7 linked regions of the Coturnix japonica genome follow. The protein of the gene in region 1 interacts with the protein of each later gene in a pairwise test. Links are inferred from orthologs where the notes say so. Each region holds a gene or a part of one and is shown in the gene's direction. Other genes may lie near its edges. The genes, in order: CEP63, TXLNB, PPP4R1, integrator complex subunit 6-like, SMC3, DTNB and SMARCE1.

Region 1 (3,500 bases):
GCAATTTCCATGAGTTAAACATCTGCAGAGTTTTAGTGCAAAATCTTCCTGTATTTGCCAATCATAGTCACCACAGCCCTCATATGGAAGTTGCTATGGGTACAGGCAGCAGCAGTTTGCTCCTTCAGCACTTCCTTAAATTAAAATGGGTGGTGGTGGAACCGGCCTTGATTGTATGGAGAAACTGAGATCAGATCAGTACGCAGCCTCATCATCATTTTGCTTCCACTGAGTCTGATTTTATTTGACGGGACCTGTGTTCTCTCAAACCATATCAGTTTGCAAGAAGTGATTTCAGAGCTTCCATCTCGACAAGCTCCTTGTTCAATGCAGGGTGGTACACACACAGTGTCCTGCAGGTGGAACAGCAGCATTCCATGTTGGTGCCTTTGTTCTGCCTGTCTCCACTTGCTTGTCAGAAGCATTGAGTTAAGTGGCATGAGCAGCCAGCAGAGCACTGACCTTTTCTCCCCGGAGAGTTCAGCTTGGTTGATGCTCACTGTGAGCCATAACTTAAATTAATTTGGTAGCCTCAGCTTTGGTGACAGAAGGCATCTGTCCTCATTTACAACACCTTACTGCTCAGTGTGATTAGCAGGAGATGTTCCAGCTGAAATAGTGGATAGGCTGCAGAGCAAGGCTAAGGTGCTTTGGCCAGATCAGGCTATATTGCAATGGCTAGAATATAGTGTGTGTCTTGTGGTTAAAACTGCACTGCACTGGTGTTTTACCCATGTAGATGGCATTAAGCTGCAGTGTTCCTTAGTCTGTTTTAGTACTGTTTGGGTAGATAGATTTTATCTCAGTTTACCACCATCACCAGTAAAATTACAGGTACAGTGTCCACCTCATGGAGGTTGCTGAAAGGATAAACCAGTGCTTGGAATCTGCTGACTCATTTGGCAAAACACATTCTCAATGAATGTGCTTAAGCACCTTCCTGACTCAGGACCCTGGAGAACCTTTCCTGACCACTGTGTGGATCCGAATCATGGGGTCTTGATTCAGATATAAGTTCTCCATGGGTTCCCAAATCGGGAATGATGTCTTCTGAGGTTCATAGGGACCATTTGGAAACTTGTTTAAATGCTTGAGTTGGGGAGCTCATCAGATGGAGAAATCTGTGCAAGTTGCGAGTGGTGATTTGCACAGAGGGTCACTTAAATGTCAGCAGTTTTCTCCTCACTTTTGCTTCTGATAAGAGTTCAGCATTCAAGCAGTAGGCGTAGGAGTGTTATTTTCTGTTGGCATTTTCCAGTTATTGTGAAGTACGTCGTGTATCTGAGCAGAGGATGACAGATGAAGTAGTGTTGATGTTATGTATAATGGCAGTTCTCTAATCTTCCTCCTCCTGCCGAGCGGGAGAGTTCCACTCCTCACCTGAGCTTCACTTTAACCTCTAAGAATGTAGAACTGTCCCTGTGGTTGGCACCAGGAGATGGACCTCAGGTTCTTCTGCTGTTACAGAGTCCTGGGGCTGCCTGTAGAGAGAGGAGGTGCCATGTTAACAGCTACATATAGACCTCCATCTGATCGATATTTCAGTCATGCTCTCATTGTGATAAGACAGAGGTCTAATTGGAGCTGCTGATGTCACGACTTAAGCGTGGCATCCTGCTCCTCTTATACCACTCAGCGTATTTTGTGATCCTATCAGTATAATAGGCTCATTATACAAATAGAAATCTTCATTTGCAAGCTGTGTGGCCTTGATTGGGGGAATTGTTTGCGTGAAGCTATTTTGTTTGCCTTCCTTCAATGTGCTATTTAATTCCTGCCCGCTGGCCTTGAACAAAGTTGCCCCTCTTGCTGAATTCTTGCAGTTGGCCAGGCTGAAGAGAAGCTACGAGAAGCTGCAGAAGAAACAGCTGAGAGAGGCAAGAGAAGAAGCCAACAAGAGGCAAGGGGATGACCAGGTTGAAATGAGCCGACTGAGCAGGAAGCTGGAGGTGGGCCATGGGGAAGCAGCTGCTAATTGGTTCTTATGGATGAACTGCCTTTCGGGCTTCACTGGTGACTCTATTCAGACAACTAGGAAGGGCACTGTGAATCCTGGTTCAGATGTACTCTCCATCTACTCTCTTAATGAAGCTCTTCTCGATTGCTTGTGTAATAAAGACTGTTTCCTGCACCGAGGCCTCTAAGTACGCAGGGTAAACTATTTTGAAGATCTTATTCTGCAGTTGAGTAAAAGGAAGAAAGTGCTGGAAGAGTAATTAATTGTGTGAGTGAAATGAAAGCCCGTGTGGTGAGGTTGTCATCTCACTTCTTGGAGGGAGGAGGAGCTACAAATGAAACTTCTTCTCAGCCATGTCTCAATCTCTGCTGTGCTGGGTTTTACCATGCTCTGCTTTTCCCCAGTGTACCCTCTAGACAAGGCTAACAGAGGCATGGATAAGATGTAGCATCCAATTGCTGGAGCTGAGGATAGCATTAGAGCTCTGCAGTTAGCGGTTGCCAACGATTCCAGGGAGGGCCTGTTTTGCAAGCTAAAGTCAGTCCGTGTTGCTAAACCTCTGACAGCAAATCCACGTGATGAGCTGTGAGCCTTTTAGCACTTAACGTTTGTAAACAGCAATAATTGACACTGATATTTTCAGCTGGGAGGGAGAGGGGAACGCAGCGAGCACAGTGTGAGAGGGGTTTTGTGCTGCTGAGTTGGTGCATCAGATGGCTGGTTAATGGTTTCCCTGCTGTGGGGGAAGGAGCGTGAGGATGTGGTGGGGAGGGAGAGAAAACATGGGTATGAGCTGGGAGGGGGCAAATCTTGTCAGCTGTGTGGATGTGTTGCTCTGAGCCAACCCTGCTGTCCTTGCAGGAGTTCCGTCAAAAATCACTTGACTGGGAGAAGCAGCGTTTGCTCTACCAGCAGCAGGTGGCATCTCTGGAAGCACAGAGGAAGGCTTTGGCTGAGCAGTCCGAGCTCATTCAGGTATGGTTAATACGTGTTGAAAGTTTCTGTTCTGTTGTGCAGCAGGTGGGAGGGCAGGGAGGGGGGAAGAGACTAATGAAATCTCTCAGGCTTGAATCCAGTTTAGGTTGCCATTGAAATGACTTTTAATGTCCCAGTGGAATAAGCTTTACGTGTCTGAGTGCTGAGTGGAAAAAAGATCCAGAGTCTGTCAACAGAAGTTAGGTAAACCTCTTGCTGCTCTCACTCCCCCGCTCCAATTAGCAGAGAAGACCGTAGGACGAAGCTTTCCCTGAGAGCCAGAGACCACAGCAAACGATGTTTGAAAGCAGCTGCTCCATCAGGTCGTTTAGTTTGAAGCTGTTTACCTGCCAATAGCTAAATATGTACCTTCTGCATCCAGCTCAGAGCATGGGGTTGAAAAGCAGCCTTCCCCAACGGCAGATACTTCCACCAAGTGAAGAAGAAACAACATTTTTCAGACCTGTTCCTTCCCTTTCTTTTTCATCTCCTACAGGCAAGGAATAGTGGGGTTGCTGTCCCTGAAAAGCTGGTCATGGGGTGAGTTAGTGGTGCTGCAGCAGAGCCA
Region 2 (3,997 bases), on another chromosome or scaffold:
TAAGAAATTACTCCAAATTTTTTTAGTATATACTTATTTTTCCTCCTATTTTTGCTCCGAGGCTTATTATTTTCCACTGGAGCTGAAGTCCTATTTCTCTTCTCATAGCACTGCCTGCCACTTCCAGCACCAGTCTATTGCTTCCCAGTTGCTTGCATTTTTGTGCATTAAACTGACCTACATCTCTCCCTAGGGAGTAAGCAGCAGATGGTCCTTAGGCCATCTGGCATCTTGAGATGCTGCCTGAGTGACTTGTGGGCCACAGCAGTGGGAGATGCTGGTCGCTGGATAAACAGCATGCAGCTGAACTCCCTGAGGAGTGCTTGCCTATTTATACAAACAACTTCAGGCCGGAGTGAGCCTGCACGGTATCATGAAGAAAGTAGGTCAGGCAAGTTACCTTGGCAGCAACAAAAACATTTATTTGAGAGCTCCTTGACTCAAAGAGAAGACTACACCAGCCATCTCTCCTAGCATTCCAGTCGCAGAAATGAGTCCATTCACCAGAGGGACACTGTGGTGGCTGGGGTTGGATTATTTGCCCCATGTTGTGACTAAGGAAGGTGGGATGGAGAAGGGAGAGCTTTGAGAACTCCAAACTGCAGCCCGCAGTACCTATGAGATTAACAAGAAGACAGATAGAGGCTTTCCATAGGGGTGTAGGTGGGAGGACAGGAAGCTGAAAGGAGGTTCAACCCAGATGTGAGGAGAAACGTTTTCACCTTGAGGACAGCCAAGCAGCAGGACAGGTTGCCCAGTCTCTTAATGCTAATACTTAATACAGGTCTTGAGAGACCTGGTCTCAGCTCATAGCTAAGCTTGCTATGAGCAAAAGGCAAGAGACATCCAGTGGTCCTCCTGTGAGTCTATGACCAGGAATCAGGTTTATAACAAATCCAGACCAGACTGCAAAGGGCAGTCACAGGTGTGAGCTCACACTGTGGAAAGCCACCCTAGTCTTCCTGGTGTAGACAGAAGACTTAGAGTTTGATCAGTCCATGTTTAATAAAGATAAGTTTCACAGAGCACAACACATCAAATCCTTGATAGACTAAGACTTAGCTTTCAAGAGTAGCAGCTGTATTTGAATCCTTCCTGTATCTCTTCTTTCTAAGGGCCTGAGTCACTGACCTCTCGTGCTATCTCTGTCAGAGAAGGGAATAGCCAACATAGTTGGGTTATGCTGCCAACTAGCAGGCAGCCTCCCTGCTCGCCTATCACAGCCAGTCCCCTGCATAGTGCGCATTTGGGCTCTGCAGTGGTTGTTCCTGCTGTGTCACTCTCTCCTTCCCCCTTACTTGATCTTCTTGGTGGCAGGATTATAATCCGGTGTTCTGCTGCTGTTGTGCCCTGGTTTGAGCTTTCTACCTGACTTCTGCCTGCACTTCTCTTTGCTCTGGTAAGTCTGACAAAGAGCTTCCCTGCTGTTACTGCTGGTGGCATGGCACAAGGACTTTAATCTAAGTGCTTCCCTTTGAGACAGTCAGCCCACTTTCCCCACTGGAAAGCCTGGGCACTGTGTGGCATGTGAGGAAAACAGGAGAGCATGGAAGCCCATTGGTGAAAGGATGAAATGCTTGAATGATCAAAAAAATGTAAGCTGACTTGGGAGAGCTGGCTTTTGGGTGCAAATAGAGGCTATGGCTGTGACAACAAAAACTGATGAAGACTCAGGTACCACATGAAAGACAAGACAGGAGACATCAGAAAGTCTCTGGGTCCAGGCTCTATCCATGCCTGTAAGAAGACGTGCCACCAAACAGCCAGATTTGTTCGATTTTGTGCTAGAAAATCATGCATAAATCACAACACCATTCAGCTGCAGCACATAGTTGATAAAGCTGATTTTGTCATAGCGTTCTGAAGTAATATATAGAACAGCCTTCAGGCTATAAGAAGGCACTTCTATATTTCTAGAGGGTAATTGGATCTACACCACTGCTGGCCATTTCAGGGTTTAATGTTTGCTGCTGGGAGGTGTTATGTAGTTTAGTATGGTGATATGCTGAAGTGAAGCTTTAGGTTTTATTGGCATATGCTGCCTGGTGTAATTATATAGAACACTTTGTTTTAGGGAACTTGTATGTGCGAGTATGTGAATTTTGAGCAAAAAGTGTGAAATACTATTCCCCGTTTTAGAAGTGCTTAAAATAACTCCTGGCTGCAGAGCAGGTGCCATGTGTCTTTCTGTTGGACCCATGGGGAGGCAGGTGCTAAATATAGGCGAATTAGTAAACCCTCCAGAAGTTCAGACTGCAAGAAGGGAAGGACAAAGAAATTCCTGTGAGAAGGAATGGTAAGAGTTCTGTTCAAAATAATAATAATAGTAATAAATTGTGACAGCATGCAAGCCCAAGCTCAAGACCTGTGTTTTATGCTCAGTTTGTGCTTCCAGTTACAGCAGCACCTCCACCCCAGCAGCACAAGGAGGGCTGGCACAGGGCACTGTGTGGGGTGGTTTGTCCAGCAGCAACAACACAGCTCATGAGTTTTTGCTTTGCCAACCTTTTGCTTCGGAAGCACTGACAGATGTCTAAGCAGAGTGAATGCAGATAGTGCCATATATGTGAAATACTAAGGGATACGGTCAGATCTAAACCAACTCAGTACATTATCTAACTGAACTTGCACACTTCTTTTCTGTTGCCTCTGGTTATGTTGCGTGTTTGCCGCATTTGTGTGCTCTCTCACCCAACATGCTGATTGCATCAACCCCAGGCACCAGTCTCACTGCAGGACAGCAGGTCTGGACAGGAGTCCTCCTACAGAAAGGCATCAGCCTGTGCCTGGCATCAGTCACCTCTCATCCAAGGCTGGGGCAGTGTTCAAAGGAGGTCCGTCCTTCTCTTGGGATGTGCTTGCTGAGTGTTTACTGAGGGAGGAGAGGAAAGGAGAAGCTCTGCCACAGTCAGCATAGGGAGGCAGTAGGCTCTCAGGATGCTTCCTAGTGGTGGAAGACCATCACTACAGCTAGGTCCTGGGTCTTCCTGGCTAAGCAACCAAGAGCTGCATTGCCAACACCTCCTCCCAGCCATGACTTGCAATGCTGTCCCCACAGACTCCAGCATGGTTTTCTCTAACTTTGCTGATGATGAAGACAAACTTAGGGTTTCAGACTTACACTCAGAATCAAAGTGAAACATACACACACACCTAGGGTCTGGGCTTGAAATTTAGACTGGCTATCTCAAGCAGACACAGAGCTAAAAACTGCAAGGCTGATGTAGAAACAGCATTGTATGGCTGTACTATTTTCTCAGTCTGTAGGGAATATCTGTAGGGAGCAACTATGACTGTCTGGAATCAAAATTGCGTGCAAAAAGGTAGGGCTGAGAGAGATACTGATCTCAGAGTTGTGGGGCAAGTACAGGGTTTGGAAGTGTAGGAGGAAAAAAGTAAACAAGACCAAACACTCAGAGTCAATCAAATGACTGGTCAGTCCTACCCCTCACCATAAAATAAGCTAAGGCCCTATAGAAAATCCCTGTGTGTGTGAAGACAGTGATAGCTGTAGGAGTCACAGAAGTCAAGAGGCAGAGTCAAAAAGCAGGCTCTGTCTCCTTTGCCTCAGTCTGTTGGAAATTAAGGGGCTGAGGAACTTCTCTTCTGGGATCAGCCACCTAATTTTTAGACATTACTGTGTCTGAGACAGCAGTAATGTAAATACTTGGGATTTTGTTGGATTGGCATTGTAAGTCTTTTATGGCCAGATAAGACAGAACTCCTGATGCATATCAAGGTTAAACAAGTTGGAGCAAGAGCAGGACTGGGAATTACTGCAGTAAAATTTCCCGTCGCCAAAGGCTGTTTTCAGAAGATGAGAGCTGCTCTGTCTTCCTGAATATAAACTCTCTCACACTGTGGAATCCATTACACAAAACAAGGTGCTAAGTCTTAACAGACATTGTGTTTGTGCTGAAAGCAGTTATCAGATCTCTGATTTAGCCTAAAGGAGAATGAAAGAAAATGCTAAAATGTTTGCTTGCCTGTGTAAACA
Region 3 (3,500 bases), on another chromosome or scaffold:
TGCTTTGTCAAGGTGCTAGGCAGCGAGTTATAGAGCTTGCAAGACTGGCAGGCTTCATCTGCAGACATCGACATCCTTCTGAGGTTGGTTCATCAGCTATTTCAGAAGAGCTCTTGGGTCAGGGGGTGCATGTGGTCTATCTGCAGTAGTGGTATCTTTCTTCATCTCAAAATGTGCTCAGCCAGCAAGGACTCTTCAGTCGGTATCTCCTGTACTCTCAGGTACTGGGAAGATGCATACAGAGAGCGCATAGAAGGCCCTAAGCTCAGCCACACTGGGCCAGTTTCATAAATGGGCAAACACTTTCTGATGTAAAAGGACTCCCCTTCTCGCACAGTTCTCTGTGCCAGAAGTGAAGAGTCTAGGTTTCATCAGTTAAGAGGACCAGAATTTGTCATAGGATGAAATTGGATGATTTTGCTGACTTCAGACCTGAAAACAGCTGCTCTGCTCATCCTAACAAAGAGATGGAGCTTACAATATCTTGTGTTCTGTTGACTATTTGGGCAATTTTTATGTAAGTGAAAGGTGAGTTACTAGGATACAAAGTGTTAGGCTACTTCAAAACTAGCTGGTGCTGCAAGCTCTCAGTAGCAAACTAGTCTTAAAAAAGAGAAAATAAATCAATATAAATCAATGGTGGTAATGTGTTTTTTCTCTAAGCTTTTTTGGAAGGAAAGATGTTTTTAGCAAATCTAGTTTTTTCTTTTCCTTGTATTAATATGATATATCGAGTTTTTCTTTCAAAATTAACAATCTCCTTAAAAGTCTGTCCTATTTACAGGTGCTTATTTTGGCCAGCTGTTGAATTGAATGTTCATTAAGCTAAAATTTCTTAGTCATTGATTGAAGTTTACTAAAACTTGCACGTATTTGAGTAGTCTTCTTCATGATCTGACTTCTTTAGTATGAGCTTACACATATATGTGTAGAGATTTTGCTTAAGGAGTTCAACCTGCACATATTTCAGAACATCCAAGATTTAGCTAAGATGACTTTTGTTGTATATGCTCCTATTACTGCTTTAGGAAGAGAAACAAAGCAAACTAGGAGATGTGGTGCTTGCTGTGTTTTGTTTTATTCAGTCTGAAGTTGTCACTTTTAACTAGTGTTCAAGAAAGCTAAGGGCTGCTTGCATTATCCACATTAAATACAAAGCTCATGCTACTATTTAGTTAAAGGTGATCGTTCTGACATCGTGTGTTCATTCCAAATATCATAAGATGGTTCTGTTGTGCCATTAAATTTTACCTAAACAGTTCCTGCCTATGTAAAGCTCAGTAAGGCACATGCCGTGTGTACAGTTTATTATTTAAAATATTATAAATCTGATCACTGTCACTTGAGAGTAGCTGCTGGGTTTTCATTATGTTTTTTCTGTAGGTCATCAGTTCTCTGATAGCAACTGCAGCTTTAGCGAATCCTGAAAGGAACAGGAGCTCCCCTCAGTTTGTTTCATGTTGCAGTTGGGTTAACTTTCTGCCTAGGAGTTTTCTTGGAAGTAGGTGATACTTGTAGGGAATTTGGATGGATCCTGATACGCGTGTTTGATGACTTGCTCTCTTGCAGTTGTTGTGGGTCTTTTTGTTTTTTCTTTTACTAATTGGGAATGTGGGCCAAGTCTTTTGTAGAAGTTTATTAGTACAGATTGTACTTGCACCTGGTTTTGCATAAAGGTGATGCTTATCAAATTGAAGCTTGCTGTAGACATACTGACTTGACCACTTGAGCACACAGTTTCTAAGTACAAGAACGTAAAAAAGCGTATTTTGACAGCGTGTTTGCTAACATTTACAGTGTCTTTTTTGTTTTGTTTTATTTTGACTCTGGCAGAGCCTACAGTGCGAGCAGAACTAATGGAACAGGTGCCTCATATTGCTATGTTTTGTCAAGAAAACAGACCTTCCATCCCATATGCTTTTTCCAAGTACTTACTACCTATTGTGGTACGGTACCTTGCAGACCAGAATAACCAGGTGAGTGTCTTACAGAAACAGTTTATTAACTAGTTGGATATTTCCACTGTGTGAGGCTTTTCAAGTTAAATAATTTAGGCTGATTTAAGAATATAATATTTTAGAGTGAAAAATATTTAAAATGACTTGAAATGCATTGCATTCTGAATTTACTAAAGAAAGTAGTATCTGCTTGATATTCTCTTGTTCACAGATTCCACAACTGTTCGTCTTCCTAACCTCTGGTGATAACTCCATAGCTCATTTGGCTGATTTGCTCTGAAACAAAGACCTCGAAAGGTCTTGTAATTGCTGCATTGCAGTAGATAACCTGTCACTTTATGTAATGTTTTCTCTTCTGACATACATGACCTTGCATTCGCAAGTGTTAAGTTCATGCAAGATAAATAAGCCCATGTTTTCAAATGATCTGGATCATTCCGGTTGATTCTGGTGATTGCTGAATCATTTGCAGGCTTTTATCAGTAACTGTATTTTTTCCAGATGCTAGCAAGTGTATGGTGTTACATTTGTCAGTACTAGATATAAAGCTACTGAAGAGCACTGAGAGCTAATTCCCCTAGAAGTAATTCCATTTGGTGATTATTACCTCCATGAAATTTATTTTTGGGTGTCAGTAGTTAAATACATATTAAGTCAATTAAAAAAGGTTCTCAGATTTTTATGTAGTCTTTTGCTAGATGGAATAAATGCAGTTATCCACTGTCAGACAAACTTGGTAAGAAGAGGGTTTGTTTAACAAAACTCGTATGCTGTAGAACTTTGTTACTCCCAGTTAGCTGTGTTGCTTCTCTTCCGTGACTTCTTGTTCTGTTTCCTTTTGACATAGCAGTCCTGACTTGGTACATACATAGGTGGACACTTACTATAATAGCATTCATTAGTTTACAGTAAGCAGAGTTCTGGGGCCTGATGCTGTGTTTAAATCATGACGCGTTTGCAGAGCACTTTTGGAGACCTTATCCTCTCTCTCCAAGCACCTTGAATATAGATGCATAGCAGTATGTAGCTATAGCTCCCAAAATACTTGGACCTACTTCAAGAAAGAAAAACAAAGACCCACCTTACCTCCTTATACTCCTTGATGATTGGATTTTTGTCTTGTTACAATAGGTAAGAAAAACAAGCCAGGCAGCATTGTTAGTTCTGCTGGAGCAAGAACTCATAGAGAGATACGACGTGGAGACCAAAGTATGCCCTGTCCTGATAGACCTGACAGCACCAGACAGCAATGATGACGTGAAGACCGAAGCCGTGGCTGTAAGTAATGGCAGTCTCAAACTAGAGGGTATAATGGTCTCTTGAATTGTTGGTGTTGCAGTGATTCTATTGTGTTTCCAAGATGTGCATCAATGTGGTATTAGGGAGAAAAATGTATATTGCTCTCCATAACTAATCCATAACTTTTTCTGCCATCTTACACTCAAGGCTAGGTTTAAAATCAATACGTTATATAGGCGATGAAAAAAAAAAACATTTGGACAAACCAGCACAGGAGGAGATTAATTTTCATTGGTTTATGAA
Region 4 (3,500 bases), on another chromosome or scaffold:
AGAAAGCGGGATTAATGACAACTCACAGCTGATTCAAGCCTGTTGCAAAATCAAGACTTAAAGAACTTTTGTTGTTTTATCCTACAGGCTGGATGGAAAGAAAATCATGCAACGTTCATGAATGAACTGAAAAACCTTCAGGCTGAAGGACTTACAACTCTTGGCCAGTCCCTAAGAACAGCTTTTGATTTATTAAATCTCAATAGATTAGTGTCTGGAATAGACAACTATGGACAGGTAATCCATTTGTCTCTAGTCTTCCTCTTTCTCTGCGTTTCTAAATTATACTGGGGAGGGATTTTGATGGTTTAAGTATATTTTTGGGGTTTTATTCCCCTATTTTTCAGCGTTCTGTTGGGTAATTGTATGTTAAAACTCAATAGATTTGATCTTCTTTCTTATTGCATGTTGTGATCATACCATGAGATACCATTATCATACCATTTTTTTGTTGTTATTGGACTCCAAAGTAGTAGTACAAATAACTTAGTCTGTAGTTGGACAATTGCTGCATTAGAGCCTGTACGCTGGATGGCAGCAAATTTCAGTTTTATTTTATCTGCAGTTCACATTCTGTCTTTCTCCTTTCTCACATTTGGAAGATTTAGTTAAAAAATATTCAGTTTTTGCCCCACTGTCGTCGTGCAATAATGATGTCACTGAGTTGTTATGTATCATATATTTGTGGAATAGAAAACTTTGAAGTTATTACTGGAAAAAAATAGGCAAGTAATTCTAACAATGTGTTCAGTGACTGACTGTGCACATGCACTTTGTCAGTAGTTCTGCATGGCTCTGTGCCTGCTGAAAGAGAACTTCTGGTTTGATAAGTTGTTCATTATATTGCTTATTTCATGATGACAAAAATATTAGTCTACAGCTGAGTGTCCTGTGCTTTTGTCTCTAGGGAAGGAATCCATTTTTTCTTGAGCCATCTATTTTGATTACCATCACAGATGGAAACAAGCTGACGAACACGGCTGGAGTTCAAGAGGAGGTAAACTGACAGTAAATTATTTCAAGTTATGATCTTAAAATTTGGTGCTGTGTTAAGGTGAATATTTATTGTGCTTTTTTTCCCCTGCAAAGTGCGCTTCTGTTTCATCAGCCTGTTCTACAAAGCAGGGAAACTGGGTGTGCTGTCATTGCTCAGCCCCTAAATTCATAGCCCATGTGGATTTCCGGACTGTAACTTCAGTTAAACTAGTGGAGAGAAGAAAAATGGGGTCCTTTACAGAGAAATAGGTATTATGTCTTCAGATGTCTTGTCAGATATTGAAAACTTTCTTAAATGTTTCTTTACCAGCTTCATCTTCCTTTGAATTCTCCTTTGCCTGGAAGTGAACTAACCAAAGAACCATTTCGTTGGGATCAAAGACTGTTTGCTCTAGTGCTGCGTTTGCCAGGAGCTGCATCTGTTGAACCAGAGCAGCTTGGGAGTGTGCCTACAGATGAATCTGCTATCACACAGATGTGCGAAGTTACAGGAGGTACCTGGATATTACTTTGCTTTGGTTTACATTTGACATTTGCCTTAAAACATGTCATTTGATTCACTTTTGCTTTAGCTTTTCTCTCGCTCAGAATTACTCAGTGTCCTCCTGAGTCTTTGTGGTGCTTTTTGAACTTAGTTTCCTGTAGCACAGGAGAGCTGTTAAAGAAAGCCATGTTGTGCACCAGTGTAGGAAGGACTGAAAATGTCTTTTATTGTCCTCCCAGGGGCTGGCTTTGCTCACTTACAAGATTCATTATTTACAAGCATAAATGTTGAGTTGAGAAGGAAGAGGTGTTACTGGGACAATAATTCTGCTGAATGGCTGATAAGCTAAAATAGAATCTTAAAATAATTAATTGTGGATTTTGATCTTAAAGATCTTACTCAGAGTTTTTGTTAGGTTGGTTCTTGAAAAAGTGTTGTATGGGTGGGGAGGTTCAGGTTTGTGTTGGAGTTGATTAGATTTGGATAGGCAAAAGCAGATGGATTATGCAGACTTCACGAAATCAGAACTTGTTGAGGGCCTTTATAAACTTGGTCTTAGTCCAGCCTGATTTAGCCTTGATGGCTTTTCTTATGAAGAAAAATCTGAGCTGTTTTTTTTCCTTTGTTTTTATTGCATTTGTAAAGCATTTTGCATCAATTTCTACTAAGCTTGCTGCTGTTATTTTTGATAAAGCTGAAAGCCTTGGCAACGTGACTTGATATAACAAAATACCTTCCTCAATTTACACAGGGATAATAGGAAAGCTTTGAGTAATCTTAATGTTTTCTTGTGTAGGTCGTTCTTACTGTGTTCGGACACAAAGAATGTTGAATCAGTGTTTAGAATCTCTAGTTCAGAAAGTCCAAAGTGGGGTTGTTATTAACTTTGAAAAGTCAGGACCGGATCCAGCTCCTATTGGAGAAGGTACAGTAACCATTTTTTCTGCTGATGCTTTAAAAAAAGCCTTTTGTGTGCATGCAGATGTCCTTAAGTGTCTTCAGTTTCCTTCCTACTGACTTTTCACTGTTGTGTACAGGATTTATCTGAGGCCTGATATGATCTAAAAAAAGTGATTAAACTATAAAGCTTTTGTGAGAGAGCTCTGGTTTCTCTTTCAATACCCCAGATCACAATGAATGTACTTTATATAACTTGAATTGTGTTTACTTAGTTTTGTCTTTACAATATTGTTCCCAGTACTAGTTTGGTCCTTGGTGAGTTGAGAAAGTGCTGTATGTTTGTATGGATTTGAATGGATAACCTTCCTGCTTGCCAGCTCTCCTGCCACTTTCTTCACCTCTTTTTTTGGAGGCTGAAGGAAGCAGCAGAGGGAAGTGAGTATTTAATGAAAGTGATAAGGTTTGAATTAGTGCTGTCAAAACTTGTGTATAAATGAAATGAATTGAGGTCTATTCGAGTCATTCTGATAACTGATCACAAACGCTTGAATGTTCCTTGCTGCAAGTGAAAAAGTCTGTGCTAAGAACAAGGGAATTGATCTGTCAGCTGCAAGTGAAGTACACGACCAAATAGGAAGATGCATTCTTAACATGGAACAGGCTTTTAGCTTTGCAGAATTCATGGCTGGAAAGGAGAGAGCTGTGACCAGTTTGTACTTAGAAAATAAGGATGTTCCTGGAATGACAGAAGCGTAATAGCTTTTAGGACCCCCGAGCATCCTAGCATAGCCTGTTTTTAACTTTGTTTTCATTACTTGGTTTTAATCACTTTTTTCTTGCTTTATACATTTTTTTTTTTCTCCTTTTGCTTAATAAATATCATTTGATTGGACGTATGCTCAAGGCTTTCCTGTAGGGCCATGCAGGACAGCACCTCAGCACTTATTATTTTCTTGGGTCTCTATTAGCCCAAATACTCTCCTGTGGCAAAACAGCTGGTGAAATTGTTTTTTTTTTTTCCTTTTGTCACGTTTTAAGTGGTGATGTGCTGTGACTACATATGCGTGAAGATGCTGAGAGCCTTCACATAAATTGAGGAAGTTCTCATCTAGAGAGAAAT
Region 5 (3,976 bases), on another chromosome or scaffold:
TACAGTACACATAAAAGGATTGTAGCAGGGAGCTGTTTTTTCCTCATCAAAGCTCCTTTCTCCTGCAGAGAATGTTACAGCTCTGCTGCTACAAAGCAGATCTTTGCTGTTGTGGCTCTGCTCATGCAAGAAGCCTTTTGCAGCTTGAGTGAACCTGGATTTCTTTCTAAGTCCTTCTTGCAGGTTTACCCGCATGTCTCTGCCTTCTATCAGGTATAGTGATATAGAGCTCAGTCTAAGAAATGCATATGGCTTTTTTCACATGTTTGCAATGAGCTTTTGGGCAAAGGATGTCCTAAACGGCGTCCAGGTGTGGAGCCCTCAGTACAAAAAAGACATGGAGATTTTGGAAAGGGTCCAGAGGAGGGACAGGAAGATGATCAGGGGGCTGGAGCACCTCCCCTATGAGGACAGGCTGAGGGAGTTGGGTTTGTTCAGCCTGGAGAAGAGAAGGTTGCGGGGTGACCTCATTGCAGCCTTTCAATACCTGAAGGGAACTTACTCCCAGGAGGGGAGTAAACTCTTCGAAAGGGCTGACAATAGCAGGACACGGGGAAATGGTTTTAAGTTAAAAGAGGGAAGATTTAGGTTGGATGTTAGGGGAAAGTTCTTCACTAGGAGAGTGGTTAGGCCCTGGAACAGGCTGCCCAGGGAGGTTGTGGATGCCCCGTCCTTGGAGGTGTTCAAGACCAGGTTGGACGGGGCCCTGGGCAACCTGATCTAGTAAAGGTGTATGTTTGGTGGCCCTGCCAGGCAGGGGGTTGGAACTACATGATCCTTGAGGTCCCTTCCAACCCGGGTCACTCTGTGATTCTGAGGCGGCCCCGACCGTGGCAGCGCCCCCTGCAGGCGGGAGGCTGCACTCCTCCCTGTCGGCGTTGCGGCCCCGCTCTGCTCACACTTGCCTTTGGCGCCCAACCCGCCCCCCAGCGGGAGAAACCACATTTCCGCGCTCTCTGGGGGGATTCGGTAGGTGAGGACGGGCGGTTTCGGACGGCTGCTTCGCCTTAGAGCTCCTTAAAAAGCTAAAGAGATATTGAAATCTGATAAAAAAGGCGATATTTTTAGTGTCTACTGCCTGGCGCCTTCTCCGGCCAGGGTGGGGTGAGATCTCTTCTCCGCTCTCCCCCTCCGCACTGTGCCGAGTGGTTCGCGCCGGGACGGGCAGGGGTGGCTCCGCCGCCATTTTGTTTCGTGAGGGGTGAGCGGGGCTCCGCGCCGAGCTCTGTGTGGCGGCCGGACGGGGCGGGAGGAGGCGGCAACGGGGGCCCGGAGTCGCTCGGAGCCGTCGTACCGGGAGGAGGCGGTCCGGGTGGGCTGCGAGACGGCAGCAGGAGGCGGCGGGGCGGCTGCCTCCCTCCCCCATCCTCGGCAGCCATGTACATCAAGCAGGTACGGCGGAGGGGCCTGCTGCGGCCTGCCCCGCTCCGGAGATAGAACGGGCCCGGCCCGGAGGGGAGGCGCGTGGCGGGGCCTTGCGGCCTCTGCTCGGGTGCTCGCGGGGCCCTTGGGCGGCGGTCCCGTGCTCCGTCGGCCGTTTCCATTCATTGCGGTGCGTGGTGGTGGAGCGAGGGCTGCGCTGCGGGCCCTGGGGACCTTCGGACGGGGCGACCACAGTGTCCCGGCCCTGCAGGGCACGGCCGGCCTGGACACTGTGCTGTTGGTGCTGGGGTGGAGCCTGGCCCGCCGAGCACTGACCATTCCAGCTGTGCGCTTCGTCCCTGACAAGCACCCAGCAGCTGATGTTCAGATAAATGAAGTCCTTGTGTGGGCCTTCTCCTAACAGTTTTTAAGGCTGTGACTCGCATTATTGTTGCTGTTAGCGTATCCCTGCACTAGTTATATATGCTGCACATCGCCGTCGAAGTTTTTGTCCTCGTTCTTACTGCTATCTCTGTACGTTCATCTGAAGCCTGCTAGGATTCTTACTTCTCTCTGCACTCAAAATTAATTAGGCCTTCTGACACCCATTGCGTATAATGCTTCAGACTATGTTTGGAAGCACACATTCTTCATGGAGATCAGGTTTTCATCAGTTGTTTGTCGACACGGGAGCGTTTGCAGATGCCTTTTGGTACTGTTTTAGTACACCTGTGTCACTGGTTCAGATGCATGTTTAATATATGATGCATGTTGCAGTACTTCAGATAAGAAAAAGCCCTACAGACTTTTTGAAAGCCATTGGTACCAAGGCAGAGCTTACTGTTACTGTGAGGATCTCCCATCTGGTAGATGGAGCCAGCCAGTACTTATAGGGTCAGGCGTCAGATCTTCTGTGAACAGCCACAGTGTTTGAGCAGTCATCAGCCAGTACACGGTCCCAAACTTGTGTTCTATACTTTGATCCATTAAATACTAATATCCTTGATTACTTCCAGTATGGTTACCTTATATCTAGACCTGAATACAGTGCAGGTCCAGAGTTTCATTTTGCTTTCTAAACTTACACTGTTAAGAAATCTCATAACATGTTTTGTTTTCTTCCTAGTTGCTAATTCTTCCTTTTTACGTTAGTTTTGATGGTGAAACGTCAGTGAGGTTTTAACAAGATCTTCTGGTGGTGAAATGCTAAGGAAGGGCACAGGGACTGAATGTCAGTTCTAGTCCATTTTGAAGTGGTCTTCCTAAAAGATCTGCAGCTTTTCAGGCGGCTGTTATTCAGATGTCACATTGTTATATATGTCAGATTGAGGAAAGCTGATGCAGAGTCCTTTCAGCACAGCTTTGATGATTGAAAAGGGCTGATTAATGCTGAGCTGTGCTGGAAGCCGGATCAGTTTTGCTGCTGCATGGAACTAAAGTATTCAGATACAGTCATTCTAGACTAAAATTGGATAGTTGTACTTATAGACTAGTGTTTGCTGTGTAGCTCTTTAGCTAAATTCATTGTGTAGGTTGTATATGTTTGTTTAGGAAGCAAATTCAACAGAACCAATATTTCTGCCTTTCACTTTCTTTGTGTTACTGTGCAGCCTAAAGAAAAAACAAGTCTGTCTTGCTCCTAGGTCTTGCTTTGACCTAGATATGTGCCAGTATCTTTTTTGAGCAGAGAGAAAAAATCTCAGTTCATAAAATGATGCTTAGGTGGAGGCCAAGTCTCATAATACAAGATACTGGTCTTGAGCTTGAGAGCTGACAGGATTAGGGAAAAGACATCAAGTGTATCAAGTGGTCTTGGAGGTGTTCAAGGCCAGGTTGGACGGGGCCCTGGGCAACCTGATCTAGTAAATGTGTATGTTTGGTGGCCCTGCCAGGCAGGGGGGTTGGAACTACATGATCCTTGAGGTCCCTTCCAACCCGGGTCATTCTGTGATTCTGTATCATAAGTGATGTGAATGTTGTGTAATATCTTGAGGTTTAAAAAGTGCTTAAGAGCAGAGGTAATTCTGTCGCTTTACTCCATAGGTAATCATTCAGGGCTTTCGAAGCTACCGAGACCAAACCATTGTGGATCCATTCAGCTCAAAACACAATGTCATTGGTGAGTTCCAATATCTGTTTTTTCACACTAATTAAAATTGCATCAGATCATGGTCAAATGAGTCCTTAACTGTTTATATTCTTCCTATGTTTGATTACTTTGTAATTTCTGCACTGGAAGCTTTTTTACAGTTGTCTGTTAATTTTACAAGGCATATTACAGCATGTTTATGGCAAAGCAATCTAGTGTTCATTTTTACTGTGACCTCAGAGTGATTCCATAGGAACTGAGTGAGAAGTGAACTGTGAGCACCTTTGTATGTATAGATGTCCATACTGGACAGTCCTCATTTAAGAGACTGGGCTTTTTGAAGTAACTCCTGATAATCTCAGATATGTGAGGGGATGAGTGAAGCTGAAGGGCTTTGGAGGCAATACGGTAGCAATGATTGATGCAGAGAACATGAAAAGCCTTGGATGTTTCATTGCTAGAAGGGAAGCTGTTCTGAACTTATACAGTCAATATTGGTCTTAAAGATGAGACACTGAGCCTTTA
Region 6 (3,952 bases), on another chromosome or scaffold:
CTTCACCTTTCCGACAGCCAGCGGCTCCAATCTGCGCCATATTTTGCACCATTCATCACTGAGGAGAGGTTTGTCCTTGGAATGACTTTGCTGCCTCAGTGCTGGTGAGACCTCACAGCTGGGGAGCTCGGGCTGCTCCCTTTCCTTGGGTCTCTGTGGTTTCTTTGTGGTTCTTTTAGTATTCTTGCATCACTATGGGAAAAGAAAGAAAAAGAACACAGGCACATGAAAACCCATACACAGCCTGTTGGAAAATATCTCCTTTTACTTCAGATTAATTGAAAAATACACTGAGTTATTCCAAGTCCTCCACTTCTCCCTACAACACCTAACCAACCCCAAGGCTTTATTTTTCTGCTTTTATTTCTTCTTCCCTGCTGCTAAATTTGGGTTTGCCGTCTCCCTTCACACTTACCGAGACCCTTTGCTGACCTCCCCCTGAAGCTGGGCCAAACCACAGCTCTTTAAATGGCAGCTGTGCTGAAGCTGAGTCCCAGGAGGTGTTTTGCTCTTGTAATTCCATTCAGATGCGGATGGCTCCAATGCAGTGGGGGCACAGGGCAGGCAGCAGCGCTGGATGAGAAGAGGTAGAATTGTTTTACACAGCATCCCAGTTGGGTAAAAGGAAAACATAACAGTGGGCTGAATTAAAGTGTTACTGAGAGAGAACTCAAAGAGGGGAGGTTGAGGTTGGATGTCAGGGGGAAGTTATTTACTGTGAGAGCGATGAGGTGCTGGAACAGCTGCTCAATGAGGCTGTGGATGCTCCGTCCATCCTTGAGGGTGTTCATGGCCAGGTTGGATGTGGCCCTGAGCAGCCTGGGCTGGTATTAGATGTGGAGGGGGTTGAAGCTTCACTACCGCCATCTCGACGTCCCCTCATCGCCCTGAGGAGAGGCGCTGACCGCCCACTGCGCCTGCGCAGGAGACGGGAGCGCGCGAAGCCCCGCCGGCTGTTGATTGGCTGGAGAGCACGAGCGCTCCCGAGGAGGGGCGGGGCGAGCTCACGCACGTCCGCCGCCGGAGAAGCGTCCGCTCGCCGATTGGCTGTGGAGGTGAGGAGGCGGGGCGAGGCACGAGGGCTCGCTCAGCCATTGGCTCTCGGAGGCAGAGGGCGGGGTGGGATTGGCCGGAGGGTGCGCGCCCCCGCGGAGACGCTTTGCGATTGGCTGCGCGCCGTGAGGCGGCCGGGGACCGTTGGAGTGGGGACGGTGAGGCGGAGCGGCGGTGGATGCGGCCCGGGCGGAGCGGGGCGGGGCGGCCAACACGGTTATGGTGTGTGGGGGCTGCGGGCATCAATGGGACCGGTCGGATTGTCTATGTATTGGGCTGCGCTAATAGCGGCGGGCTCCGAGAGCCGAGAAACGGGGAGGGCGGCGTGGGGCTGAGGAAGGAGACCCGTCCCAAGCTCGGTGCTGGGAGTGCTGGGCCCTCCAGGCCGTGACATGGGCAGCCCGTCCGTGTACCGACGTGGAGCCTCCCGCTAAGGGTGCAGCATGAAGTTGGGTCTTAGCTTGAGCTGAACGGGGCCGATAACCGGCTGTTTGTCATAGTGGCTCTTTCTTTTTTTTTCTTTTCTCGTGTGGTTGGTTGTTTTTCAGGTCGTCCTTCGATGTTGGCAGAAGGAGTTGAGGTGGCTGCTGCCCTGAGAGGCTCCGTGTGCCATCCAGGTAATGTGGCATCCAGGTAACTGTGGCTGGGCTGATGTGCACGGAGCTAAACAGGCTGTGTCTGTGGGTTCATGGTCAACAGAGCATCCTTAGGGTTGGAAGGGAACCTTAAAGACCACCTGTCCCACTGAGCAGGGACACACAGCTCCATCAGTGCTCACAGCCCATCCAGCCTGACCTTGGCTGTGTGCAGGGATATCCAGCACCTCTCTAGGCAACCTGATGGACCTGGAGAGCCATAGTGCTATATATGTATATGTCATAGTGGTGAGGCTGGTCTCTTTTCAGTAGTGCGTGGGGATAGGACTAGGGGTAATGGGATGAAAGTACAACATAGGAAGTTCCTTTATACAGTGAGGGTGACGGAGCACTGGAACAGGCTGCACAGGGAGGTGGTGGAGTCTCCTTCTCTGGAGATATTTAAGACTCGCCTGGACGCCTACCTGTGTGACATGGTGTAGGGAGCTGCTTTGGCAGGGGGGTTGGACTCGATGATCTCTAGAGGTCCCTTCCAACCCCTACAATTCTGTGATTCTGTGCAGCGCTCCTCTTATTCATAAGTGATTGTTAAGCCCTAGATAGGCTGGGGAGCCCTTTGCCAATGGTTTGTGTGCTGCTTGAGAACGCTCTGATAACACTCGAGCCACTGCCTTGAGTTTGGTCATCAGCTGTGCAGTGCTGCTCTTTAAAAACGCTTTGTACTTTCAGTTTTCTTATTCACGTTCCTGAAACTGAGTGTGCAGTGCGTCAGCTTCCTTGTTCTGCTGTTGGCTGCTGTGGCTTTCCAGGCAAAAAAAAAAAAAAAGAAGTTAAAATTCTCATTTCCACGTTGGGAAATGTGAGAAACGTTGGCCTGAAGAATTACTTGGGTTGGTTTTTATTTGTCCTCCTGCCTTTCATTGGTAAGTGTGTGTGATCCTGTACTGCCAGCTGATATTACAAAGTGCACTCGAAGGAATAGAGGTAACCCAGAATTGTCTGTTTGAGGCTGTTGCTTTCTGTGTTTCCAAAGGATATTTTAGATTAGTGGAGAGTTTGGGTAAAAGGGTGTTGTTGCTGACAAGCAACTGGAGAAGATGGAAAGAATTAATTGCTGTAGGGCAGTTCCAGCTTAGCCCTCTCGTTCGTCACATTATTTGTCAGTACCAGCATAAATAACAGTTGTGAGTGGTATAGAAAGCAGCCTGCTTTTCTTAGCCTTATCACTGCTGCTCTTTAACTTTGTGCTTTTGGGGTGGTGAGATTTGGTGATAAGGACTTAAATTTGTAACATTTATGTTGAGTTATGTTTCGGGTTTTTCTCTCAGTGCCAAAGTGGAGAAATCATGATTGTAAGGTGCACATTTGGTTTAGTGTTTAGATAGGCTCCTGCTGATAACTTGTGCCTAAGCTTAGCTTCGTGGCTCTCTTGCAGTCATGGAATGAATCATAGAATGGCCTGGGTTGAAAAGGACCACAGTGATCATCCAGTTCCCCCTGCTGTGTGCAGGGTCACCAACCATCAGACCAGGCTGCCCAGAGCCACATCCAGCCTGGCCTTGAATGCCTGCAGGGAAGGAAAGGTGCTGTATCATATCTGTGTGCTTTTTACAAAACCTTCTTTAGAAGCAGCTCCTGATCCACTGTGTTTAAAAGAAAATTAACAAACACAAGGGAAAGCCCCCAAAATGTAAAAGCAACACCAAAAAAACGCTAACTTGTGACTTTGCAATGTAATTCAATACAGGCTTGGTCTTGATCTGGAGTTTCTTGATGATGCTCTTTTAAACTGCCATTCATTATGGCTTGTGAAGTTCTTAAGCAAACATTGGAGCTTTGTTTGGGATCCGTAGAACCGGGAGGTGTATGCGGTTCCTCATGGATGCTCTGTTGTCAGGTTGGTGTAGATATTGAGGTAACATATCAAAGCATTCTTAATACTTCTGTGCACCATTACTTATGCTTTAATTAATTCCATTTAGGGTTGGGAACTGAGTCTGAAATTGTAGTTGAACTAGAAGAATGATCAGAATTGTGTAAAATATGCTTTGAAAGAAGGCGTTGGTGGTCTGTTAGTGTGAGTGGCTCTTCTTTTTCTGTCCTTGGGTTTCCATTGAATGGTTTGGGTTGGAAGGGACATTAAACCTGTTAAATGTATGCCCATGAAATAACTACTAGAGCTCTTCCTTTTTCCTGGTAAGAGGTGTAGTGAAGTAAAGAATCATAGAATTAATTACAGAATGGCCTGGGTTGAAAAGGACCACAATGATCATCTGATTTCAGCCCCCCTGTTATGTGCAGGG
Region 7 (4,238 bases), on another chromosome or scaffold:
CAGAACCTGTGGGATCCAAAGCAGCAGGAAAGAACCAACTGCAGTGTCAGTGAGTGTCATAGGAATTAAGGCACATGTTACAGATGGGAACCACGACGTCTCGCACCGTTCAGTTTCGCTTCTGGCCTTTATCAACAGCAACAACAGCGCAGTGGTTCCATTGCCCACGGTTCTCTGTCTACTGTATAAAGCTGGCTAATTATCATTAACCTTAAAACTGATGCGGTGTTGTTAATACCTGAGTAGTTGGCATCCTGAATGTAACGGCCTCTCCTGGCATTTTCACTATGCAGCTTTTTTCGTGTGCTATACTCTGTATGTTTTACAATACTTGAATTTAAACTAAGTTTTAATCGCTTTGAGGCACTTTAAACAGGGATACAAACTTACCAAAGTAAATAGCGGTACAACAATAAAAACAATAAAACCTGAGCTTTGTGTGTCCGTCCTGAGGGGGACTGGGTGGCAGAGAGCACAAACAAAAGCTGGTTTATGATCATTAAACATGTTCAGGGCTCCTGACCTGAACAACCCGCTATAAACAAACCTTGTACAGCAGTAAGAGCACATAGAGTAACATGGAAACGGAGCACAGGCAAACAGAAATGAGAAATAAATAGAAAAACCAACCAACTAAAGCAAAGGAAACAATAAATAACGATCCAGAATGATCAGTATGGAACTGCACTGAACACTGCAGCGACTTGTGCATGTTTAATGCTATCGACACCAAGCACAACTGAATGCAACGTACAACACAATGTAATGAATGTGGTCAAACCCAAGCCAAACCAGGGTTACTTTTCACCTCTAAGTATTTTCTTACCTCCTCCTTAAGGACGTTGTGCCCAGGTGCCGCTGTCGGACCCCAAGGTGCAGGTCTGGCTGCTGGCGGATCTTCCCATCATTATATTCCCTGTGTTATTGAATGGAAATCTCCATCTGTCCATGTCCGTGTCGTTACTTCAGAGCAGAGCAGGCCGCGCTGTGGTATCACAGCCAGCTTCCTCTCCCTTCTATCCCCTCTGGTGTCACACAAGCCCTGTCTATGTGCATTACAGACGATTCCTGCAGTTCTATGTGCATTACAGACACTATTCCTGCAGTTCTATGTATATTATAGACACTATTCCTGCAGTTCTCTGTGTATTACAGACTATTCCTGCAGTTCATGGTCACTCACAGCCGCTTTCTCCCTTTCCCGCCATGTTCTCCTTTCCCGCCACTCGACGCTCCATCTCGCGCCTCACGCGGCCCCAGAGCGCGGCAACGCCGCGCGCCGCCTCCGCCCCAGCCCCGTGAGGCAGCGCTCCCCGCAGATTCGCCACAACGCCTTCCGCTCTTCCTTCTCACCCCTCGCGGCGCGGGGCGGCCCTCGGTCTGACAGCGGCTCCGAGGTGAGCGGGGCGGACGGACGGATCAACCCCGCGCTACTCGGACACCCGCGGGAGGGAGCGGGGCGGAGGCCGTGGCGAAAGTGCGGAGCGGGGCGCGCAGGCGCGGTGTTCGCAGCCGGCTCGGCCCGGGCAGGAACAAAGGAGCGGCGCTGCGGAGCGGTGCGTGTGTGCGGGGCGGGACGGGCGGGGGGGCTCGGTGCCGGGATCGGTTCTGGGCTCGGTTCTGGGCTCGGTTCCGGTCTCGGGTTGGCGGCTCATCGCGGTGCCGAGGGGCTCAGGTGGGCGCTGCCCGCGGGGCGGCTCCGCTCGCGGCCTCTTCCCGGCGGCGCGGCCTCCGCGGTTACACGGGCCGGGCCGGTGTGTGAGGGTCCGTGTGGAGCCACGAGCTGGAACCGAACGGAACCGAGCGGCACCGAACGGAACCGAACGGAACCGAACGGCGGAGGAACGTGAAGTTCCTGCGGGAGAAGCGCCGTGAAATGGCCGCTGGGCTGAGCGGGGTGGCATTAATGGGACGGTTGTTCTTTTGTCTTTCAGAAACACGAATGTAACGTCAGGTGGCTGAAAATTTGCCTGTCAAAATGTCAAGTAAGTTTTCGGGCTTTTCTTCCTTTGGTGAATTTCGGATCCGGTTCCGCGGGCTCTGGGGCGCTGCCTGTGGGCCTTGTGCACAGAGCAGCCGTTCCTGGTTCCCGTGGTGTCTGTTGCTGTGCCGTCAGCTCTCACTGCAGCTCGGGCTGCACGGAGCAGTTCCTGGTGCCCACCTGGAGCTCTCAGGAGCTGCTGCAGCCCAGTCCAAGCGTTTGGTCTCACAGCAAATCTGTCCCAGCTTCTGCTGAGTCCTGCTTCCCTGTTTTGTTTTGTTTCCTTACCCTCTTCTTAACCGATGTGCCTGTAAACGTATCTCAGGTTCCTTCATCTGCCTAAATAAAAGACCAGAAATGTAGCAATGATGTGGGGTTTTGGTTTGATTTTTTTTTTAGTCTCTCCTTTGCTGTGTGCTCCAAAGTCTTTGAGCTGGGTCTGTCTTTTAGTAAATCCCATTAAAGCATTTGCCACAATGGATGCCTCTTAAAGAACTCATTCACATTTTCAAGGATTTTCTTTGCTTACGTTTATATTTTAACAGAAAGGCCATCTTATGCTCCACCTCCTACCCCAGCTCCTGCAACCGTAAGTACAGTGCTTTTTCTCATTAACACAGATCCTGTAGCAGAGCTGTTAGTGACTTACCAGAGCCGTAACAGTGGAGACGCAGCACCTTCCTGTGTTGGAAAAGCACGCTTGTTGTATTTCATTGTTAGTATGATATTCCTTGTTTAAAGTCATCCCAATTTCAGAACAGTTTGCAAAAAAGAAGCTGAACAAACTGGTTTCATCTTAAACATCTGCAGGATGTGGCCCTTTTTTAATCAGCAGTCACTGGGATTATTTACCTGTGTGGCCATTGAACTCATGCAGCCAATGCTGCCCATTGGGATGCTGGAATATTGAAGGCCAAGTCGATACGGTTCATTCTCAGACTCCCTGCTCAACTTTTACACAAATGATGAGCAAAAACAGGGCACGTTTTTGTGCTTCTGACACATTTTCAATGGGATGCAGATTTCTGTTATATTTGGTCAGAAAATGGAGACCCTCCGTGCTGGTAATCGTACTCAGATTTCATGAAAATGCTGATATTTTGGGGTCTGCTGCATGGCAAATCTCTTAACTTACAGTAAAGTGGTATGGAATGCCAGTTAAGAAAACGTGGCAGTGATGTCCAGTTGTATTCCTGCATGTATAAAAGTATCTTGAAATACTCGTGCTGTGGTTGGAAAAGCAGCTGAAAGCAAAGGCAGCTCTTGTTTTGGAAGCAATGCACTCATGGGAGAAAATATTAATGAGTGGAACAAATGAACGAGTAAGGATGCTCTTTAGCATGTGTCATTTCACACAGCTCAATAGATTTGTGCTCTTAGGAGGAATGTGATGGCAGCGGATCTCTCCTGTGGCACAGTGTGGGTGAATACTGAGGTGGTGCATCCTTTAGCCAAGCTATGACTTTGTCAGCAGTGCACACAAAACCAGGTTCATGTTGATGCTTTTATAGCCGTGATGTAGAATGGGTACAGTGAGCACATTGCTTTCAAAGACTGCTGAAATGGGTTTTAACAAAGTGGGACTCCAGTGTGAGACAGTGCAGGTAACGCATGAACCTGGCGTGGTGCTGCAGTGAGTGCTGGTGCAGCGCTCCATCACCCTTACCTGGCTGGTCTGCTTTATTTCCAACACCATCTGAATTCTGGACAAAGAAAAGAGAGTAGCTGAAGTGCAGGAGTGAGACTGACAACCAAGGGGAGACAGTGAACCTTGTGGTGTTTGATTACATCCCTGCTTACCCACATCTGTGTGCATGGAAATTAGATTTTCTCCATGTTCCAGGAGGTGAGAACAAATTGATCCGCCTGCAAGATCGGACAAAGATGTGTTTGGTTGTTCCTAAGATTAGTTTGTGGTTTCTAACCTGCACATTGCATTGCAGCGGTTCTTCAGCTCCGTCAGCCAGCGGCCTCCTAACAGAGCGGCAGCTCCGTGCATCGTCCTCTCTTGGTTTTTCTAATCCTTACAGTTCTCCAGAGTGTTTTGATTCTGCAGACCACCAGTGAAGTCCTCTGCTCCTGCTACTGTTGCACGGATGGTGCTTTGAGACACTCACGTTGTTTTTTTACCCTGTTTGCTGGCAACATCGTGTTCGTTAGGAGGCAGAAGGATGGCAAGAGGAGGAGGCAGAGATTTTTGCTGTTGTAGTAAATGTTGACTTGGGGAATTTTTGCCCCCATACTGCGCGCTGCTTTG

Evidence for each region.
Region 2: the proteins of CEP63 (region 1) and TXLNB interact in binary tests that used the Homo sapiens proteins (3 or more experiments, as listed by UniProt). The two-hybrid records come from large-scale screens. The link is inferred for Coturnix japonica from reciprocal best matches to the Homo sapiens genes CEP63 and TXLNB.
Region 3: the proteins of CEP63 (region 1) and PPP4R1 interact in a two-hybrid assay, tested with the Homo sapiens proteins (2 studies listed by BioGRID and IntAct). The link is inferred for Coturnix japonica from reciprocal best matches to the Homo sapiens genes CEP63 and PPP4R1.
Region 4: the proteins of CEP63 (region 1) and integrator complex subunit 6-like interact in a two-hybrid assay, tested with the Homo sapiens proteins (2 studies listed by BioGRID and IntAct). The link is inferred for Coturnix japonica from reciprocal best matches to the Homo sapiens genes CEP63 and INTS6L.
Region 5: the proteins of CEP63 (region 1) and SMC3 interact in a two-hybrid assay, tested with the Homo sapiens proteins (2 studies listed by BioGRID and IntAct). The link is inferred for Coturnix japonica from reciprocal best matches to the Homo sapiens genes CEP63 and SMC3.
Region 6: the proteins of CEP63 (region 1) and DTNB interact in binary tests that used the Homo sapiens proteins (3 or more experiments, as listed by UniProt). The two-hybrid records come from large-scale screens. The link is inferred for Coturnix japonica from reciprocal best matches to the Homo sapiens genes CEP63 and DTNB.
Region 7: the proteins of CEP63 (region 1) and SMARCE1 interact in binary tests that used the Homo sapiens proteins (3 or more experiments, as listed by UniProt). The two-hybrid records come from large-scale screens. The link is inferred for Coturnix japonica from reciprocal best matches to the Homo sapiens genes CEP63 and SMARCE1.

What each region holds. Positions count from the first base shown.
Region 1 is NC_029524.1:2,647,865-2,651,364, forward strand, and holds part of CEP63 (centrosomal protein of 63 kDa), read left to right. Parts: intron 1-1,823; coding exon 1,824-1,949; intron 1,950-2,818; coding exon 2,819-2,932; intron 2,933-3,500. UniProt on the Homo sapiens protein: Required for normal spindle assembly.
Region 2 is NC_029518.1:48,823,892-48,827,888, forward strand, and holds the start of TXLNB (beta-taxilin), read left to right. Parts: upstream 1-1,197; 5' UTR 1,198-1,399; intron 1,400-3,997. UniProt on the Homo sapiens protein: Promotes motor nerve regeneration. May be involved in intracellular vesicle traffic.
Region 3 is NC_029517.1:88,765,711-88,769,210, forward strand, and holds part of PPP4R1 (serine/threonine-protein phosphatase 4 regulatory subunit 1), read left to right. Parts: intron 1-1,833; coding exon 1,834-1,976; intron 1,977-3,089; coding exon 3,090-3,236; intron 3,237-3,500. UniProt on the Homo sapiens protein: Regulatory subunit of serine/threonine-protein phosphatase 4. May play a role in regulation of cell division in renal glomeruli. The PPP4C-PPP4R1 PP4 complex may play a role in dephosphorylation and regulation of HDAC3.
Region 4 is NC_029519.1:4,023,480-4,026,979, forward strand, and holds part of integrator complex subunit 6-like, read left to right. Parts: intron 1-87; coding exon 88-237; intron 238-907; coding exon 908-997; intron 998-1,306; coding exon 1,307-1,490; intron 1,491-2,276; coding exon 2,277-2,405; intron 2,406-3,500.
Region 5 is NC_029521.1:22,934,301-22,938,276, forward strand, and holds the start of SMC3 (structural maintenance of chromosomes protein 3), read left to right. Parts: upstream 1-1,176; 5' UTR 1,177-1,377; coding exon 1,378-1,392; intron 1,393-3,405; coding exon 3,406-3,481; intron 3,482-3,976. UniProt on the Homo sapiens protein: Central component of cohesin, a complex required for chromosome cohesion during the cell cycle. The cohesin complex may form a large proteinaceous ring within which sister chromatids can be trapped.
Region 6 is NC_029518.1:95,642,749-95,646,700, reverse strand, and holds the start of DTNB (dystrobrevin beta), read left to right. Parts: upstream 1-1,152; 5' UTR 1,153-1,211; exon of another isoform or gene 1,212-1,275; intron 1,276-1,601; 5' UTR 1,602-1,670; intron 1,671-3,213; exon of another isoform or gene 3,214-3,232; intron 3,233-3,952.
Region 7 is NC_029542.1:4,157,577-4,161,814, reverse strand, and holds the start of SMARCE1 (SWI/SNF-related matrix-associated actin-dependent regulator of chromatin subfamily E member 1), read left to right. Parts: upstream 1-1,438; 5' UTR 1,439-1,556; intron 1,557-1,656; exon of another isoform or gene 1,657-1,675; intron 1,676-1,934; 5' UTR 1,935-1,978; coding exon 1,979-1,985; intron 1,986-2,526; coding exon 2,527-2,570; intron 2,571-4,238. UniProt on the Homo sapiens protein: Involved in transcriptional activation and repression of select genes by chromatin remodeling (alteration of DNA-nucleosome topology).